Callithrix jacchus: one gene and its partner. The protein of the gene in region 1 interacts with the protein of each later gene in a pairwise test. Links are inferred from orthologs where the notes say so. Each region holds a gene or a part of one and is shown on either strand. Other genes may lie near its edges.

Region 1 (3,820 bases):
TCCAGCACATTCTTGTGTATAAGAAGCTCTTTTCTCAAAAGAGGGGGTGGCATAGCCTCATCAAATATTTGCCGAACAACGTCAGTACCAGAAATAATAATTATATGAAGCAGATGATAGAAGTAATTATAATCAAGCTTGAAGATAGGCATTTCATCTGAAAATAAATTTTGGGAAGTCAAGACATTCCACATTAATGATCTTTTTCTTTTTTTTTTTTTTTTTTTTTGAGACGGAGTTTCGCTCTCATTACCCAGGCTGGAGTGCAATGGTGCGATCTCGGCTCACCGCAACCTCCGCCCCCTGGGTTCAGGCAATTCTCCTGCCTCAGCCTCCAGAGTAGCTGGGATTACAAGCACGCGCCACCACGCCCAGCTAATTTTTTGTATTTTTAGTAGAGACGGGGTTTCACCATGTTGACCAGGATGGTCTCCATCTCTTGACCTCGTGATCCACCCGCCTCAGCCTCCCAAAGTGCTGGGATTACAGGCTTGAGCCACCGCGCCCGGCCCAATGCTCTTTTTCTATTTGGCCTCTCATATTTTATCCTTAGCTGCTGCAGGATAAAAACTGTTCCAAAAGAATAAAGCACAGTACACTGCTTTGCCACAACTGATGCTCAATAAGCAAGCTGCTTTCTCTCTGTCAAAAAATCTAAACAGAAACATGTTCCCAAGCAAAAGTAATCAAAGACTAATCACCACAGAAGTCTTTCAACCATCCAAGGTTTTGTTCACGTAAATGATCTTTGGCAACAAAATAGCATCAAAGTATTAGATCTTTAAAAATTCTAAAATTTACCAAGAATGCTAATTGTCAATGTTTAATTATGCTTTACTTAAATAATTATACTTTATCCTAATCCACACTGTCCAACAGAATGTGGTGTGATAAAATGTTTTATATTTGCACTAATACTCGTTGAATACTGGAAATGCTGCTTGGGTGACTAAGAAATTGAATTTTAAATTTAATTTTAATTAACTTAAATTTAAGTAGCCACATATAGCTAGGGACTCCTATACTAGATAGCTCAGATCTATATCAAGAAATGCAAAAAGATCTAGTTCCTTGCTACTCAGAGGGTAGCCCAGAGACCAGCAGCATCAGCATCTACCTGAGGGCCTGTTAGAAAAGCACAGTCTCAGGCCCCACTGCAGACCTACTGAACTGAAATCTGCATTTTAACAAAATCACCAAATATATCAAATATATGTATGATGTTTGAGAAACTCTGATCTAATAAACCTCATCTTCTTACCCCTCCAAAAAAGATAATAAAGTAGATATTTCATCAATAACGTGGAATAAGGCATGAAACTGAACTATTTGGTATTTTCCTGTTTTAATAGTGATTTCGAAGGAGAAAAGTAGGCTGAAGTGAATTAGAGAGTACTAATAATCTGATATATGATGGCATTTGGCTTTTGTATGTATATTGAAATATGCATTTGTCACATAATACAGCTTTATTATTTTATCCTTCAAGATTCTATGTTTCAAGAGATTTTTTAAATTAACACTTTTGCTTGAAATACTTGATATACACTGTGGGAGCAAAGTTAAAATGCAAATGACACAGGGAGCTTCCTTTGAGTTGCCAAATAAGAAGTTGGCTGGACTGCCACCAAACTATTCTTCCAAGAGCCTAGGCTCCCTTAATTAAGGTCTTCGGGTTCTGGGCAGGAAATGTACTAGCATGCTCCTAAACAGCTGGCAGCTAAGTTTAGAGTAGTTGGTCTCAAACTCAAAATGTTCATTCCTTTCATGTAAGGGTACTCTAATGCTTGCTCTACTAAGAAGGAATACAGCAGGGGAAGAAGGGTTGGTAGAAAACCTCTGCTAGGACATAATCCCACAGTATAGTTACAGCTATGCACCAGAACTAGCATGTTTCTCTATAGCATGTATAGCATGTAGTATAGCAAGGTAATGTGAGGTCCATACATCTGCTGATCTTCCTGTCTGTGATTTCCAGCCTACACCAAGTGCTACTTGCTGGTATAAACCCAAGTTCAGTGAATGACAAACACAGTGAAGATGTGGTAGTTAATGGCATGAAAGTTGACAACAGAAGTAAAACATTTTAACACAGTTTTCAATGGAAGGCATATAAAAATAAAATAATACCTTTTGTATTAAATTTTAAACTGATCTTCGGTCTTATATCAGTATCAGCTATTTTCAGAGATACCAACTTTTTATAACTGCAAATGGAAAAAAATTAAGTTACAGTGGAAATAAAATAATGCCAAAGTCAGTCAAGATTTCCAGTATAAGCATGACTATTTTCATCTTCTACTCCTAGAAATAATTCAAGAAGGAGAAAAATAATGGAACAAATAAAGCCCACCAACAATGACAACCCTACACTGTCACTTTCATTGGAATTATCAAGTAAGCAGTAGTGCCAGATTTCATACTAAACACATTACAAACTTCCTTGCAAAAAGGCTGTATGGTAGCAGAAAACAAGGAAAGAAAGCTTTGCATTGTAAAACCAAAAAAGCAAGCAAGCAAACAAAAAATTGCAAACTTGTAAATCCTCCCTGGCCCTCTCTTCACCACATACATTTTTTGGCAATAACTATTCCAAGAAAACCCAACTCATTTAACGCTTAGTGATTAAAAATAATAAAGATGCTAGCATAACGTCAATAAAAATAATTCGAAAATGAAGTAGCAAAATGTATTAACTAGACTAAGCACTAGGTAAATGTTGCCATTAAACAGATAGCTTCACTTTGAAATGAACCACAGAAAACAAAACAAAAAAATATTGGACAACACTACAATGTAAACTTAATGAGGAAAGGGATGTTGGTGGTTATTGTTATTTTTAACTGATTTGATCTCCAGTACCACTATAGCACTGTTAATTACACATTACACTGAAAAAAATGTAAAACTCTAACAATATGAAGTTATTGGCAAAGATACTAAGTAAAAGGTATCTCCTATACGGTTTGTGGGGAGTGTACATTTGTAAAACAATTTGGCAAAAGCTAGTGAAGTTACAGATATACACAGGTGGCCTAGAAAGTCTACTTTTAGGCATACATTCTGGAAATTTTTCTGCTCATACAGACCTAGAGACACGTACAAGAGAGTTCACTGCAAACTATGGTTATAGCCAGGAACTAGAAATAAATATCTATCAATGGTAGAATGATTAAATTAGTGAAGTAACACTCTAAAGTTAGAGCAATAAAATGAAAACACTGAAGTATGATAGTAAGAATGGAATCATACCAAACATGATTTTAAAATGCATAAAACCAAATGTTTCCATATATAATGTTTGAAACAAAAAAATTAAACTATACTTATAAGTAACAATAATTTATAAAATAAGTAGAAATAAAACATATAAAAACAATAGCACAAAAAAGGGAAGAAATGGAAATCTATTATTGCAAGATTCTTACACTATACATGCTGTAGTATAATATTATTTAAAAATAGAATTTAGTAAGTTAAAAATATGTATTGTAAGTCCTCAAGCAATACATAATATCCTCAAAAAAGGGTAAAACTAATAAACCAAATCAGGAAATAAACAATAAAACAGAAAAAGAAAACTGAAAACAACAAGGAAAACAGTAGATTTCCAACCATATAAATTAGTAAAGAAAATTCATATGGAATAAAAAACCCAATTTAAAGGCAGAGATTGTCATTTTGGATATACAAAAGAAAGACCTCTGCCACCTACAAAGATATATGTAGGCTGAAGTAAATTGATGCAAAATACTAAACTAGATATACTTCAATGCACTAATCAAAACAAAGCTGGAATAACTATATTAATATCAGACAA
Region 2 (4,485 bases), on another chromosome or scaffold:
AGTTACTTGGGAGGTTGTGGTGGGAGAATCATTTGAGAATCAAGAGCAAAATCAGAAGGCTAACACAGGGTTTCAAGACGTATTATAAAGCTACAGTAATCATGACACTACCATAGACTTTGTAAATACTGTACATTAAGCTATCCTCATTTTTTTTTTTTGAGATGGAGTTTCACTTGTGTTGCACAGGCTGAAATGCAATGGTGCAATCTCAGCTGACCATAACCTCCGCCTCCCAGGTTGAAGTGATTCTCCTGCCTCAGCCTCCTAAGTAGCTGGGATTACAGGCATGCACCACCAAGCCCAGCTAATTTTTTGTATTTTTAGTAGAGATGGGGTTTCTCCATGTTGGTCAGGATGGTCTCGAACTCCTGACTTCATTCAGGTGATCTGCCTGCCTAGGCCTCCCAAAGTGTTGGGATTACAGACATAAGCCACCACACCCGGCCAGGCTACCCTAAATGAATACATTTTCTTTTCTTCTTAGCTTCCTATAACTTTTTTTTTTTGAGACAGAGTCTTGCTCTGCCAGTCACCCAGGCTCGAGTACAATGGCACGATCTTGGCTCACTTCAACAACCATCTCCCAGGCTCAAGCAATTCTCCTGCCTCAGCCTCCCAAGTAGCTGGGGTTATAGGTACCCACTATCATGCCTGGCTAAATTTTTTGTAGAATGGGGTTTCACCATGTTGGCCAGGCTGGTCTCAAACTCCGGACCTCAGGTCATCCACCCACCTCGGCCACCCAAAGTGCTGGGATTACAAGCGTAAGCCACCTTGCCTGGCTTACTTTATAACTTAGAAATCTTTAAAATTTTTTGACTCTTTTTTTTTTTTTGAGACAGAGTTTCGCTCTTGTTACCCAGGCTGGAGTGCAATGGCGCGATCTCGGCTCACCGCAACCTCCGCCTCCTGGGTTCAGGCAATTCTCCTGCCTCAGGCTCCTGAGTAGCTGGGATTACAGGCACGTGCCACCTCGCCGAGCTAATTTTTTGTATTTTAGTAGAGACGGGGTTTCACCATGTTGACCAGGATGGTCTCAATCTCTTGACCTCGTGATACACCCGCCTCAGCCTCCCAAAGTGCTGGGATTACAGGCATAGCCACCGCACCCGGCTTTTTGACTCTTTTGTAATAACAATTAATGCACAAACACATTTACAGCTGTACAAAAATATTTTCTTTCTTTATATCTTTATTCAATCAGCTGTTTTCTATTAATTTTTTCTTTCTCTTTAAACTTTTTTTGTTAAAAACTAAGACACATTCTCCTCCAAACCTGTTTCTGGATGACTGGGGAGTTGTGGGGGGGGGGGAAACTAACACACATACATATTAGCCTAGATCTACACAGGGTCAGGATCATCAAGACGTCACTAGGCAATAAAATTTTTTAGCTCCATTATAATCTTATGCAACAACCATACAATTAACATATGGAATCTGTTATGTAGTAAGTGACAATATATAGAAAGAGAGATCCAGTGATGGCCTGCATGGCTTGGTCTTATTCAACATTTTTTTTTTTTTGAGACAGAGTCTCATTCTGTTACCGGGCTGGAGTATAGTGGTGCAATCTTGGCTCACTGCAACCTCCACCTCCTGAGTTCAAGCAATTCTCCTGCCTCAGCTTCCCGAGTAGCTGGAACTACAGGTGCATACCACCATGCCAAGCTAATTTTTTGTATTTTTAGTAGAGACGGGGTTTCCATATATTGGCCAGGATGGTCTCAATCTCTTGACCTCGTGATCCACCTGCCTTAGCCTCCCAAAGTGCTAGGATTGTAAACATGAGCCACCACACCCGGCCTTGTTCAACATTTTTATAAATGCCTTGTATGAGGACACAAATGTACGTATTTATCAAACCTGCAGTGACACAAAGCTGACAAGGATACTTAATAACAATGGATGATGGAATCAGGATCCAAAAGGTCTTGACAGGCTGCAACTCTGTGTCGAATCTAACAAGATGAAATTTAACAATGACAAAGGTGAGTCTGACACTTAAGTCCAGAAAATCAATATAAGGCCCTGACTTGATGACAATTCAGGTAGAAAACAGGGTTTTTCAACTGACTGAAATCATAGCAACAGTCAGAAACAAGGAAGTCAGAAAGAAGAGGGGTTAACTGTACAAATACTATTTCCTTTCAGGTCAACATAAGCTTTTAGATAGACTTGCAAAACACAATAGGCCACTTCAGGAGGTAAGTATACATTACTGGAAGTCTTCAAGCCAATTTTGATAACAACTCCGGATGTTGAAGAGGGAGTACTGGAATCTCATATAAGGTTTAATGGAAGAAATGACCCCAAATAGTGCCTAGATTCCATAATTTATTTACATATTGTTAGATGTAATTACAACTTATGAGGTAAAAATAATTTCATTCCAATTGATTTAGTAGACTCATTAGTTAAGTCTCTGAAAGATCTACTGAATGAGGAGGTCATATTTAGGCTTTTTCCCTCCTTTTCTTCTATTAGTCCAAAGACTTTTTTTTTTAAGAGTGATAATAAGGCCAGGCGTGGTGGCTCACGCCTATAATCCCAGCACTTTGGGAGGCCGAGGTGGGTGGATCACGAGGTCAAGAGATCGAGACCATCCTGGTCAACAAGGTGAAACCCCATCTCTACTAAAAATACAAACAGTTAGCTGGGCATGGTGGTGCGCACCTGTAATCCCAGCTACTCAGGAGGCTGAGGCAGGAGAATTGCTTGAACCCAGGAGGCGGAGGAGGTTGCGGTGAGCCAGGATCGTGCCATTGCATTCCAGTCTGGGTAACAAGAGCGAAACTCCGACTCAAACAAAACAAAACAAAAAAAGAGTGATAATAGTACTTTCTCACTTCTCTTGAACTTGAACTCCCGACCTCAGGCGATCTGCCCACCTTGGCCACCAAAGTGCCTGGATTACAGGTGTGAGCCACCATGCCCGGCCTCTCACTTCTCATTACTAACTTAAAAACTAAGCTGGGCACGGTGGCTCACGCCTGTAATCCCAGCACTATGGGAGGCCGAGGCGGGTGGATCACGAGGTCAAGAGATCGAGACCATCCTGGTCCATGAGGTAAAACCCCATCTCTACTAAAAATACAAAATTAGGTGGTGCGTGCCTGCAATCCCAGCTACTGGAGAGGCTGAAGCAGGAGAATTGCTTGAACCCAGGAGGCGGAGGTTGCAGTGAGCCGAAATCGCGTCACTGCACTCCAGCCTGGGCAATGAGACTCCGTCCCCCCCCAAAAAAAACTATTTTATTTATTTATTTATTTATTGAGACGGAGTCTTAATCTGTTGCCCAGGCTGGAGTGCAGTGGCGCAATCTCGGCTCACTGCAACTTCTGCCTCCAGGCAGTGATTCAAGTGATTCTCCAGCCTCAGCCTCCTGAGTAGCTGGAATTACAGGCATGCACCACTATGTCCAGCTAATTTTTTATTTTTAGTGGAGACAGGGTTTTGCCATGTTGGCCAGGCCAGTCTCCCAGTCCTAACTTCAAGTGATCCACCCGCCTTGGCCTCCCAAAGTGCTGGGATTACAGGCATTAGCCATCACGCCTGGCCTTAAAAACTATTTTAAATTTGTTATTATGGAAATAATATATGCTCCTTGTAAATAAAATTAAACCTTTTTGATGAATATAAAATGAAAACTAAAGGCTCCTCTCTTGCTTTTCCCCCAAATACACCCCCAAACTTTCTTGGACCTCGCAAGCTTCTAAAGGCCCTCCTTTGCTGAACCTCTTGTAGACTTACAGTCTGTATACCACAAGAGTTTTTATAATATGCCACGTTTGCCTACTAACAAGAACGGAAGCTCTGTAAAGGTAAGATTTGTCTTTTACAAATCATATAACTCATGTACCAAATACACACTGTAGAAATAAAACATTTAACTTTTTGATACTTCTGAAACAAGAAATAACAGTATTATTCAGATGTTAAGTCTTATTTTCATTTCAAATTTACAGTGGACACTGGTTTTGCTGATTCTGCGTTTACCTCCTCTGACCTATCCACCACGGTCATCATTGGCTATGGTCATCCATTCAATTGTACTGAAAGGTGAATAAGATCTCTAAATCAATCAGAGCTTCACAATCCCACAGGCATGGTTTAGGGTTGGTCACGTAATCCAATCTAGACCAAAGAAGCACAATCAACTTGAAGCTGAGAGAATATAAACGACCCTGGATACTTTCAGCCATATTGGGACCAAAGAAGAGAGTCTATCCAAGTATGGAGCCAACAACCAAAAAGCAGGCATGAGAGACTGGGAGAAATGGGACCCTAGTGACATCATTTAGCACTCTTCTTAAGTATTATCATCCCATTTTTGATCTCAGAACTGTCTGACTTAATGGTGGGCCACAGTGGCTCATGCCTGTAATCCCAACCCTTTGGGAGGCTGAGGTTGGTGGATCACTTGAGGTCAGGAATTGGAGACCAGCCTGACCAACATGGTGAAATTCTGTCTCTACTAAA

What was found.
Region 2: the proteins of DZIP3 (region 1) and ZCCHC10 interact in binary tests that used the Homo sapiens proteins (3 or more experiments, as listed by UniProt). The link is inferred for Callithrix jacchus from reciprocal best matches to the Homo sapiens genes DZIP3 and ZCCHC10.

Annotation. Positions count from the first base shown.
Region 1 is NC_133516.1:99,714,033-99,717,852, reverse strand, and holds part of DZIP3 (E3 ubiquitin-protein ligase DZIP3), read right to left. Parts: intron 2,208-3,820; coding exon 2,131-2,207; intron 158-2,130; coding exon 1-157. UniProt on the Homo sapiens protein: E3 Ubiquitin ligase proteins mediate ubiquitination and subsequent proteasomal degradation of target proteins.
Region 2 is NC_133503.1:75,414,352-75,418,836, reverse strand, and holds the start of ZCCHC10 (zinc finger CCHC domain-containing protein 10), read right to left. Parts: upstream 3,027-4,485; 5' UTR 2,958-3,026; coding exon 2,680-2,957; intron 1-2,679.